Sus scrofa: one gene and its partners. The protein of the gene in region 1 interacts with the protein of each later gene in a pairwise test. Links are inferred from orthologs where the notes say so. Each region holds a gene or a part of one and is shown in the gene's direction. Other genes may lie near its edges. The genes, in order: MAP2K3, FGFR4 and ARNT.

What was found.
Region 2: the proteins of MAP2K3 (region 1) and FGFR4 come close enough for resonance energy transfer, tested with the Homo sapiens proteins (2 studies listed by BioGRID). The link is inferred for Sus scrofa from reciprocal best matches to the Homo sapiens genes MAP2K3 and FGFR4.
Region 3: the proteins of MAP2K3 (region 1) and ARNT come close enough for resonance energy transfer, tested with the Homo sapiens proteins (2 studies listed by BioGRID). The link is inferred for Sus scrofa from reciprocal best matches to the Homo sapiens genes MAP2K3 and ARNT.

Annotation. Positions count from the first base shown.
Region 1 is NC_010454.4:61,395,209-61,399,265, forward strand, and holds the start of MAP2K3 (dual specificity mitogen-activated protein kinase kinase 3), read left to right. Parts: upstream 1-1,160; 5' UTR 1,161-1,315; coding exon of another isoform or gene 1,316-1,364; intron 1,365-4,057. UniProt on the Homo sapiens protein: Dual specificity kinase. Is activated by cytokines and environmental stress in vivo. Catalyzes the concomitant phosphorylation of a threonine and a tyrosine residue in the MAP kinase p38.
Region 2 is NC_010444.4:80,850,958-80,855,182, reverse strand, and holds the start of FGFR4 (fibroblast growth factor receptor 4), read left to right. Parts: upstream 1-1,391; 5' UTR 1,392-1,562; intron 1,563-4,225. UniProt on the Homo sapiens protein: Tyrosine-protein kinase that acts as a cell-surface receptor for fibroblast growth factors and plays a role in the regulation of cell proliferation, differentiation and migration, and in regulation of lipid metabolism, bile acid biosynthesis, glucose uptake, vitamin D metabolism and phosphate homeostasis.
Region 3 is NC_010446.5:98,381,877-98,385,482, forward strand, and holds part of ARNT (aryl hydrocarbon receptor nuclear translocator), read left to right. Parts: intron 1-1,635; coding exon 1,636-1,746; intron 1,747-1,922; coding exon 1,923-1,995; intron 1,996-2,148; coding exon 2,149-2,272; intron 2,273-2,459; coding exon 2,460-2,562; intron 2,563-2,942; coding exon 2,943-3,090; intron 3,091-3,606. UniProt on the Homo sapiens protein: Required for activity of the AHR. Upon ligand binding, AHR translocates into the nucleus, where it heterodimerizes with ARNT and induces transcription by binding to xenobiotic response elements (XRE).

The DNA of each region.
Region 1 (4,057 bases):
CGTAGCCTGAGGAGTCCATAGCTCATGCCTTTCTGCCCACTGCCGGGAAAGATGAGCCAGAGACACAGGAGGAAATAATGATAATTAGTAGGCCTCCCCTTATCTCATCTGACTGTGTGGGTGGGCCCCGAGGGTCACCTCTGTCTTAAAAGCAGGAAGGCTCCACGCCTTTCTAGCAGGTGGTGGAATCTGCTTCCCTCACGTGAGATGCCTGGCAGGTCACACGCTCATACCTGCCTGAAGCCAGGGGCTGACCCTGTGACCTTTGCCAGGCCGGCTATCCAAGTCCTGGTCCCAGTTTGCCAGCTTGGTCAGTGGCTCCTGAAATCCCAAGCTCCCACGTGGGAGCAGAAAGGGCACCGGCCCGACTGGACATTATACAGATGAGCAGACTGAGGCCTCGAGAGGAGGAGGGACGGAATCAAGGGCGTGGGAGAGAGCCAGGACTAGACCTTGGCTGAAATGCTTTGAGATGCCGTCTTACTCGCTAAGGCTGTTTCCGCACGTGTAGAACCGGGCGGGGGCAGGGGACACAGCCCTCAGAGCTACCGACGTTTGCTGACTTCTCCCCAGGTACCACCAAGCCGGCCTTTGTGTCCCCAGCCGTTGCTGAATACGGAATAAACATGCGCACGCCGGGCATTCAGTCAACAAACACCTCTTGCGTGTCGGTGGAAGCCAGGGTCTCTTCCCACCAGCAGCGCCGGGAGGCGGGGACGCGAAAACAGGCTCGGGTGGCCTGACTTGCCCAGGTCAGCCCCGCTATGAAGTAGTCGAATCGGGATCTGACCCCAGCTTCACCCCCGGGGCGCACTTCGAGCCCACCGGCGGCACCCGCCTTCCTGCTCCCCAGGGCCTCCGCCAGGCCGCCGGGGACACCCGGTCGCTGCGCACACTGCGGGGCTCGAGTCCGGGTGGGCGGGGCTTGCGCCTGGTCGGCGGGGGTGCGGAGCCTGACTGGTTTCCAGGTGGCAGGCGGGCTTGACAGGCGGTGGGAGGAGCCACATCCCCGGCCAACGGAGGGCGAGGCTTGAGCTTGACGGGCAGCCCCGGGCCCGCGTTTGATAGGCAGGGGCCGGGCCCCGGAGACCGGAGGACCAATGGGGGTGCGGGGCGGGGCTTGCGTCGGCGCCGTCCGGCCGGGGCCCCAGTCGCGCTGCCCAGTCTGGCCCCGCCGCCGCCTGCCGCGGTCGCGTCCTCGCCGCCGCCCTGGCCGCCGCCCGGGCCGCCCGCCCGCAGCCATGAGCGCGTTCCGCTCGGGCCCAGCCCGTCGCCCCCTGGACTAATCCCGCTGCCGCCCCGACCCGCCTGCACCATGGAGTCGCCCGCCGCGAGTCCTCCCGCCGGCGTGCCCCCGCCCAAAGGTAGGAGCGCCTGGACTGCAGACGCGAGTCTTGCGCGGTCCTCTGGCCCGGCCTCGAACCTCTCGCTCTTCGGTCCCGCGCCCATCCTGGGACCTCGACTGGGTCCCATTTTAGGCTTTGGGGCTGCACCCAGGCCCAAACTCAGGCGGGGGTCTGGTCCTGATCACCCCGCTCCGGGTCAGGAACGTCCATCTGACCTCCCGGTTTGGGCCTTAACTGCACCCTGGACAGGAACTCTCCCAATCCGGGTCCCTCAGCTGGACCGAGGTGGGAGTCACTCTGAGCCCGCGCCCAGCCCGCTTCCACTTCTGGATACCGGGGTTGCATCCAGGCTGGGATTTAACTGGCTCCACGTCTGGGCCCCAGCGGTGCCCCCTGCTGGGGATCTCCCGTGTGGGTGCCCTGGCTAGGCTCCAGCTCAGAACTCCCCGTCTCCCCCCCAACCCCCACCGCGCTCCATCCTCCTAGGCTCCACATTGTGCGCTCCCTGGCCTGCCTGCATCCCGCCCTGCAGCCCTGTCTCCCTGGGAACCTCCCTGAGCCTCCCACCTGGCTCTGCTGCACAGCCCCCTCTCATGGGCTCGCCTTGTCCCGAGTTGCAGCCTCCTCTGCACCAGGGAGCTCACCCTCTCCTGCGCATGTCTCCAGGGTTGATTGGTCCCAGGTCTGTCCCGCTGCCTGTGGGTCCTGGGCCACTGCCAGGCCGGGTGCTGGCTGTGCAATGGGCTTGCTCTTGTCTTCTCCAAGTAGCCGGCCTTCCTGGAAATTTTTGTGAGGTGGCGGCTGCGGCGGCCGGATTTGTCATGCAGAGGGGGAGGACGAGACTTGGAGGGCAAAAGGGGGATTTTTTTGGCAGGGAGAGGCAAGGATGTTTTGGCCTGTCGGAGTCTTGGCGGGCTGGGCTGCGTGAGACGTTTCCAAACCGGACACAGCCCTGATGAATGGGCTGCCCCCCCAGCCTGCTGCCTCATCCCAGCGGCAGGAGCGTCTCTGGGCCCCGGTGTCCTTATCACACCTGCTTCCGTGGACTGTGGACTCTGGGCATGAGACGGTGAACCCTGAAGAGTTTTAGGCCAGTGTGGGTGATGAGGCGAAGGGCTCGCGTGGTCACAGTTTTTCTAGCTGGAAAGGCCTCAGCCATGTGGGATCAAGGCTTTGCCTCTGTTTGGATTGTAGCTGCAGAGTGAGGGGGAGAAAGGCAACAGCTGGAGCTCAGCGGCCCGCATCAGGGGTTGTCCCTGCTTCTCTTTTTCTGGGTGTGTGTGTGTGGGGGGCAGGCAGCTGGAGGGCTTGTGGGGTCCTGGCGAGGGTGTGGGTCCTTGCCTGCCCCTGCTCCTGGCGGCTGCGGTGGCTGTGGGCCGGAGCCCAGCCGGCCGGGTGGGCAGGGTAATTACGTCTTACCTAAGTGGGAGGCCGGATCCCTGACCATTGCCCAACCGCTGTGAGTAACCCAGGAGGCACTCGAGGGGGAGATGGCTGGGGAGGGATGTGCCCTGTGCAGACCTCGTGGAGCTCAGGAACTGGGAAATCGGGCACTTCTCTTCCCCAGCTCCAGGTCGAGGCCTGGCCTGGCCAGGGCTGTGAGATCCGGGGCAGGTCCACGCATCACTCTGGGCCACAGTGTCTTTCAGGGGCAGAGAGAAGACGATGGAAGCCGTGTTTGTTTGTGACGGTCCTTCCAGGTGGGGAAACCCTCGTCGAAGTAAAAATTGCAGGTTGCATAGTTACGGAGGGAGAGGGCTCGTGTGTGTGAAGGGATAAAGCACTTTTGGCAGACGCGCGTGCTGTGTGACCTGAGCTGAGGTGCCGCCCTCTCTGAGCCTCTGCAGAGAGGGGACCAGGCTGGATTTTAGTGTGGGAGTCCAGGTAACAGATGCTGTTGGGTGGGTTGGATGGAGGGTCGGGCCTCCCCAAGGCCCAGGGACCTCGTCAGCCTCTTTGGGGTCCGGGGCGAAATGTAGTGGGGAAGCCACCGTGCCGCTCACCCAGGCCCCGAGAGCTCCCACACACCCGCGTTCCCATGAGCCAGGTGCTGCGCCATCAGTTGTCCACAGTGCTCTTCGCCGTCAGGGAAGCTGAGGCTCAGAGGCTCTCAGTGCCTTGCCCGAGGTCACACAGCTTTGGCAGTGGACCTAGTGTGTCTCTGCAGTGCTCCTCTGGGGGCGTGCCATTTCTGTGCCGGATGCTTGGGCTGAGCTGGTGGGGGACCCCCCCCCAATCACACCTCTGTCCAGAGGCATCTCCTCCAGCCCACGCCTGACCTGGAGGGTGGACGGAGCAGATGAGATGCTTCCCGCGTGCACAGCTCTGTACAGTTGGCATGTTTCATGCTCCCTGCAGTCTGACCCATTTGACAGGTGACAAAACTGAGGTCAGCCAGGAGGAGTGGCTGGACGGAGCCCTCCCCACCCTGGGCACAGGCCACAGTGTTGTCCTCCTTGTCACCTTCTCAAGGAATTTGGACCAGGCAGGGTGTGGTCAGCACTTGACCCTGGAGAGCGTCACCGCTGAGCTTCCTGCCCTGCCCTCTGTGCCACAGGCCTGGGGAGCTTCCTGGGAGAGGACGAGTCCCCAGGCCCCACAGCCCTGCAGTTTTCCCGGGGCCTCCTCGCCCACATGCCACCTTAGATCGGGGTCAGGGCAGGGGCATTTTGGGTTGGCACAGCCTGGGTCTGCTGCCTCTGGCCACGTTG
Region 2 (4,225 bases), on another chromosome or scaffold:
TTCCACAGTGGCTGCACAACTTTACATTCCCACCAACAGTGTATGAGGAAAACATGTCTGCTTTTGGTGACAACTTCTTGAGGATGATACTGTCATTCTACCTGTTTTACTGATGAGGAAATCAAGACACAGGGATGGAGTAACTTGATAAGTCCATGTGTGAAGGTGCTGAGCTTTGAGTCCTGCAATTTTTGCTCTGAATTACTTCACTCCCTTCTCACTACCCATGCTCACAGGAGCAAAGACCTGGAAGAGGAACCTGACAAATTTAAAGGGTTTCTCTGAGGAAGTGAGATGAAACCTAAGAATGAGATGGAACTAACCAGATCTAGAGGGAAAGATCACTCCAGGAAGAGGAACTATATTTGCAAAGGCCCGGAGGTAGCGGTGGGAGCAAGGAGGAAGTGAATGAAGACTTTATCTGAAGATGTGGGTGGGCCAGGTCAGGCCAAGAATCTCTATAGGAAGTTCTTGGAAAGTTTTAAAGCGGTGGCTGTGGTTGATACAGTCGTATTTTCTTTTCTTTTCTTTTTCTTTTGTCTTTTTAGGGCTGCACCCACAGCATACGGAGGTTCCCAGGCTAGGTGTCAAATGGGAGCTACAGCAGCCACAGCAACCTGAGATCCTAGCCACATCTGCGACCTACACCAGAACTTGAGGCAACGCTAGATCCTTAACACACTGAGCAAGGGCAGCGATACAACTCCTGTCCTCATGGATATTAAGTCAGGTTACTGTTATGGCTGGGCTATAATAGGAACTCCCATATTTGTATTTTAAATATCACTCTGGGAGTTCTCTTGTGGCACAACGGGTTAAGGATCCTGCGTTGTCACTGCAGTGACTTGGGTCGCTGCTGTGGCATGGATTCGATCCCTGGACCAGGAATTTCCACAGGCCGGAGGCGGCCAAAAAGGAAAAAAAATCACTCTGAAAGTTGTTCAGAGAACGGATGGGGGTACAAGCTGGGTAGGTCTACTAGCTACTGTATGACAATTGCGCAGAAGACAAAGGAGCCAGACTAAGCCAGAGTCTACGGAAATGGCGGGTCAGGACTGCTGGGTCTTGTCCCCAGAGGGATGAAGTGCAGGAGGTGGAGCAATGGACTAGAACTTGGAAGCCTGGCCTGGGTGAGGCAAATAAAGGCAGAATCGGAAGGGATGTGCCAGCTAGGATTGCCCCCCCGCCCCCCCCGTTCCCCCGCCCCGTAGGCCGCGGGGCGCTGATGGGTTCGAGGACTGGTCTCCAGGTGGGCGGGACGCTATGCCACCCGCTGTCAGGAGCTGGTCCAGGAGGGGCCAGGCCCGAGATGGGCGGGGCACTGGGCTGTTCCCGGCCCAGTCTCTGTCAGGACAGAGCTGGTCCAGGAGGGGAGGAGCCCAAAGTAGGCGAAACTCGAGGTGGGCGGGGCGCTGGGCCGCCCCGCGGCCACGCCGCTGTCGCGGGTGCATTCCTGGCTCTCCCGCCCGGGGCTGAGCAGCTCCCGGGCTGAGCCTGCCATCCCCGCTGGGCGCAGGGGTCGGGGCTGGTGGAAGCTGGGAGCCGGGCTGCAGAGGACCCAGGTGAGTCGGAACCCTGTGCTGGAAGCGGGTCCACGGAGGTTCGAGGTGAGCCGGGACCAGGCTGCGCTCCCAGCCGCCAGGGGGCGAGCGGCGGCGGGACTGGGAGCTGACCCCTCCCAGCACTGAGGACCTAGGCGTCCGCTCAGCCGGTGGGGGGGCGGGGGGGGTTGATGGGGACGGTAAATCAGTAACCCGCAGCGCACACAGGGCCTTTTGTCCCGCTCTGTCCAAAGAGCACCCGGGCCGCGGAGCTGGTTACTCATTGCCCACCGGGGCGGGGGCGGGCCGGCTGTCTCTGCAGCTCTCCTTCAGGACCCGTGACTGGCATTTGCCCCCAGCGAGGCTGGGTTGGGGTGGAGGAGGAAGAGCGCCCTGGTCCCTCTGTCCCCGACCGTGTGCGGGCTCCGAGTAGAGATAAGGAGGCTGTGGCTCTGAGAGGTGCAGTCATTTGTCCAGGGTCCCCCAGCGCTTGGGTGCGAGAGGCTGGAGAACACAAGACTACTTGTGCCAGAGTCAGGCCCTTCGGCCCCACGTGCTGGGCCGTCGGTCAGCGGCCCCTTGTGACCCGACTAAGGTTCTGAGGTCAGGGTAGCCTGGGGGTGGGATAAAAATCCCTGGGCCTCCCACTCCACTCCCAACCTAGAGAGCCGCCCTTTCTGCAGAGCAGAGCAGGGTGAGGGGATTTCACAGAGGAAGGGCAATGGAAGCCAGTGATGGGCACAGAGATAGTGGAAATTGTGTCTTCTGAGCTATGTGGAAAAGAGAAATGGGGAGCATGGAGGTATAGGCAAGAGAGAAGACGTGCAGTTTTGAAAACTAATGGTTTAACAGTACTGAAGTAGCAGAATGTGCAGCCAAAGATAGGGACAAGGGCATGGAGGGAGGCCTAGGATGCTGGATAAACAGTGTGGACTGGGTCCTGCTGCACATAGACAGCCATTAAGGGCTTGTAAGCTGGGGTGGGACAGACTTTTTTTTTTTTTTTTAATCAGCTTGATGTGGGATCTCAGTTCCCAGACTAGGGATTGAACTCTGGACCACACTGGTGAAAAGCACAGAGTCCTAACCACTAGGACACCAGGGAACTTCCCAGACTTGTCATTTTTGAAGCCCTGCTGGAGAACCCAGAGAGATGTTTGCAAAGGTCCAAGCTAGAGATGACCGTGGCATGCTCTAGATTCAAGCAGGGGAAGAGGGATGGACTGGAGAGGCGTTTGGAAAGTGATGCCCCAGTTGGAGGCAACTCAGGGAAGGAGCAGTTTGAAGCGGGAGATAATAACTTTGGCCAGGACACACCGAGTGCCACTTGCCTCAGAAGCAGAGCTGAAGAGGGAAAAGAGGCTAAGTAGAGAGGGTGCGATGGGACTCCTGGGCAAGGTAGATCCAGAAACACCAGCACCACCTGTTACCCAGCCCCAAGTGATAGCTGGTAGGCCCCTGGAACTACACTGGTCACCCTCTTCCTTTGCCCTGGCTGAGGTTCGGTTTTGAGTGTTCCTCTTGGGGGATGGAGACATCCTTGGTAGCATTTGGAGGAGGGTAATTGGATGGGGTGTGTGTGTGTACATCACACTTGAGGTGAGTAGCACCACAGAGAGAGGTGACTTCCCTGGCCAAGGGCAGACCCAGGGTGACAATCATGGGGAGGCAGATGGAGAAGAGAACATTCCAACATTATGTGTGCCCACCTCCTACATACATTCTCTTTTATCCTCAAAGTAGTCCTGGGAGGAGAGTGGCCCAGAGAGGGACAGGGACTTGCAAGTTGGTAAGAGTCAGGATTTGATCCTGGCTCTGTCAGACACTAGAGTGTACATCCTTTACAAGAGCTTGTGTTGCCTCAGATGGAGTTGTGGAAGCACAGAAAACAGAAGTATCTCCAGAATGCAGTTTTGGTTCAGAGTGTGAAAGAACTTCTGAGAGTTCCCTGGTGGCTCAGAGGGTTAAGGATTCAGCATTGCTGCTGCTCTGGCTTAGCTTTGATCCCTGATCCGGAAACTTCTGCATGCCTTGCAGGAGAGAGGACTTCTTTTGTAGTTTAGTGGGTTAAGAACCCGACATATTGAGTGTCGGCAAGGATGCAGGTTTGATCCCTGGCCTTGCTTAGTAGATTAAGAGTCTGCTGTTGCCACAAGCTGCAGCATAGGTCACAGATGCAGCTCGGATCCGGTGTTGCTATGGCTGTGGCCCCTAGCCCTGGATTTAACCCCTAGCCCAGGAACTTTCATATGCCACAGGTGTGGCCTTAAAAGGGGCGGGGGGGAGGAGTTCCTGTCATGGCTCAGCGGTAACAAACCTGACTATAGTATGCAGGAGGACTTGGGTTTGATCCGTAACCTCACTCAGTGGGTTAAGGATCTGGCTTTGTTGTGAGCTGTGGTGTAGGCCTGCAGCTGTAGCTCTGATTCGACCCCTAGCCTGGGAATTTCCATATGCCATGGGTGTGGCCCTAAAAAGACAAAAAAAAAAAAGAGAGAGAGCTTCCACTTGCCATAAAACGTACTGCCTTGTTAGTAGTGAGTGCCCTGCCACTGGAGGTGTCCAAAGCTGGTCATGGAAATGTCAGCAATGCGCTAAAGAGTGGGGATCAGATCAGATAACATCCAGATGCTGATATTTGGCCTTGTATTATATTTCAGATTTTTTTTTTTTGGCTCTTCAGT
Region 3 (3,606 bases), on another chromosome or scaffold:
TTCAGTTGACCCGTGAACAACATGAGTTTGAACTGTGTGGGTCCACTTACACTCAGAATTTTTCAGTAGCAAATACTGCAGTGTACTACATGACCCGCATTTGGTTGAACTGTGTATACATGGATGGCCGACTGACTGTAAGTTATACTCAGATTTTTGACTCATCAGAAAATCAGCACCCCAATCCCTGCATTGTTCAAGGGTTAACTATATTTCATTTGTATGTTTCAAACCTTTTGCTTATCTATTTATCAGTTGATGGATATTGAGTTGTTTACACTTTGGGCTATTAAGAATGCTGCTGTGAACATTTGTTGACTAGTTTTTGTGTGGATATGTTTTTATTCTCGAGTATATACATAGGAGTAGAATAGTTGAATCACATAACTCTTATGTTTAATCTTTTGAGGAACTTCCAAACTGTTTTCCAAAGCTGCTATACCATTTTACATTCTTATCAGCAGTGTATGAGGGTTTCACTTCTCCACATTTTTACTGTCTTTTAAAAATTGTATCTGTCCTTGTAGGCGTCAGTTGTCAAGGTACTTCTTTTCTATTTAATCTGTTTAGAATTGGCCTTTAACCTATCTCTTGAAGATCTCATAAATAATTAGCCAGTGTGAAAATATCTGGTGACAACATTGAATCTGTATCCTCCAGTTCAACTTTTAGGGCTTGTAAAATTTAATTCTTTGCTAATTAACTCAGTGTATAACAGAGTGGATTGAATTAAAAATTTTCATTAACTGAGGACTCAAGTCATTGTAGTTTGTTTTTTTTTTTTTGTTTTTGCCTCTTTATATTGCAGAACAGTTGTTTTGTGTTTTTGTTTTGTTTAAATTGAAATGTTTAAGTGTTTTTAAATACTCGTCTCTGGAAATAATGGCTTTTCCCATTTTTACATACTACAGTTTTTCCTACCACAGTTAGTTTAATTCATTCTTAATGTTTTTTTTTGTAATATTCTTCATAGAAAATTTGCAAAGTATTAAAAACAATAAGGAAAAGGAAAAATTTTTTCACTGCACAGAAATAGTCTTTGTTAATTTTTAGTACTTTTTTTTTTTTGGTCTTTTTAGGGCTGTACCAACAGCATATGGAAGTTCCCAGGCTAGGGGTCTAATCGGAACTGTAACTGCCGGCCTACATCACAGCTACAGCAACGTGGGATCCGAGCTGTGTCTGCGACCTACACCACAGCTCACAGCAATGCCAGATCCTTAACCCACTGAGTGAGGCCAGGGATGGAACCCGCATCCTCATGCATTCTAGTCGGGTTTGTTACCGCTGAGCCACAATGGGAACTCCTGTACTTTGTTTTTTATTTACACTTTTAAAAAACACAGTGTATTGACATGCAACACACACATACACAGCAACTAGGTATTGAACACCTAAAAGGAATTAGAATCCAAAGAGGATGAACCTTGTGCCATGAAACATAGTTTCTGTTTGTACCACGTTGTCCATAGTGTGAATTATTTGTTGAATCTGAGGTTATAGGTTACTTATAGAATTGGATTGGAAAGGGGAATTTATCAGTAATTACCCACCTACAGGTGAATCTGTAGAGTTTTATGTGCAGAATCAGATACTTTTTGTTTTCTTTGTTTCCTCTACTCTTCATTTTCCCAGGAACTCCAGCCAGGAGCCACGGCCTACACTGTCCAACACAATTCAGAGGCCACAGCTAGGTCCCACAGCTAATTTATCCCTGGAGATGGGCTCAGGGCAGCTGGCACCCAGGTGAGAAATGGTGGGAAAATCATTTATTGAGCAGTGACTGGCCTGGGGGTTGGCAGTCTATGTTCTTTCTCATTTTTTATTTATTTCCTTGTTTGTTTTAAGCTCTTTCCCCAAAAATGTTTTTTTTTTTTTTTTTTTCCCCCCGATTTCTCTCTTCACTTGCCTTTAACATATAGGCAGCAGCAACAGCAAACGGAATTGGATGTGGTGCCAGGAAGAGATGGACTAGCTAGCTACAATCATTCCCAGGTTAGTATGTCTTCTTTGATGGATGGTGAGCATTTCCTTAACAGATGTCTGCCAGAGCCAATTAGAGTGTATGTGTGTCCTTATATGGATTTTAGGGTTATTGAATTGTCATGTTAAACCTTTCATTTTTATTTTTATCATTGTGTTCCACAGGTTTCTGTTCAGCCTGTGACAACCACAGGGCCAGAACACAGCAAGCCCCTTGAGAAGTCAGAGGGTCTATTTGCCCAGGATAGAGATCCAAGATTTTCAGAAATCTACTCCAATATCAATACAGGTATGTTTCTTCCTCATTCTCATTTTAAATTCTCATTTTGATCACTTACTGATGGGCCTGCAACTGCCCAATCAATAGTCTCCCAGCATATTTCCACTTAATTCTAATACCTCATAAATAGGAACTTGCTGAACTAATATACTACAGCCCCTTGACTGGCCCTCCCCCAACTCCTTTTGGTCCACAGATCAGAGTAAAGGCATCTCCTCCAGCACTGTCCCTGCCACCCAACAGCTATTCTCCCAGGGCAACACATTCCCTCCTACCCCCCGGCCGGCAGAGAATTTCAGGTGAGCCCCATATGTGTGTGCTGCTTTATAGGGCAATTGAGGGATTCAGTTACTGAATCCAAGTTTTTTTCTTCCCTAGCTTTCTCTGGTTATATCAGACAAAGCTGTGGAACTTGTAGGACTAGGATGAGACAAGTTTGCTTTTTGTCCCCCTTTTTCTTTGCACCTGTCCTGTTGCCATGTTCTAGGTTCCATTTCTGTGTATTCTGATCAGTGTGTGACCGTCAGTCTTTCTTGTCTTTTCCAGGTTGCGTTATCCAGTTTTCCTTAACCCCAGGGAGTCAAGGGAATCTAGGAATAGCTAGATTGTCCTGCAATTTCTGGATTTTATGATAAACCCATCTTTTTAATCCTTTACCTCACTATTTGTTCACTCCTAGAAATAGTGGTCTGGCCCCTCCTGTAACCATTGTCCAGCCTTCAGCTTCTGCAGGGCAGATGTTGGCCCAGATTTCCCGCCACTCCAATCCTACCCAGGGAGCAGCCCCAGCGTGGACCCCTAGCACCCGCCCAGGCTTCTCTGCCCAGGTAAACCTTTTCATTTATCTGTCCTTCGTGTATTTTGTTTGTTTGATTAGGTTTTTTTTGCACATGTGAAATTATTGTTGTCTGTTTTAGACACCTTCTCCCCACCCCATAGCCCCTACCTTCCAATTTTTATTTCTGTTGGGAGCAATTAGATAATTAAAAATAATCCAGATATCTCAAGAGTCTGTGGTTTTCACATTCACCTTAAATTAGAATTGCTCACAAACATATTGATTAGGTTTGAGTTCCGCATTTGTTTTGGAGTAAATCCTAAGAAATTTTAGACTTTGGTTGGGGCCACAAAATAGACCAGGGAGAAAATTAATTACTAATTTATATACAGTGATGTCTACGAAAAAAAATTGTTGAAAAATCTTCACAAAATGTATAATATTTAACATATGTTAAGGTTAAAGCTAATATCCTTTCGTATGTTGATATATACTTATATTGCATAGATTTTATAAATATATATATATATATATATTTTTTTTTTTTTTTGGTCTTTTTAGAGCT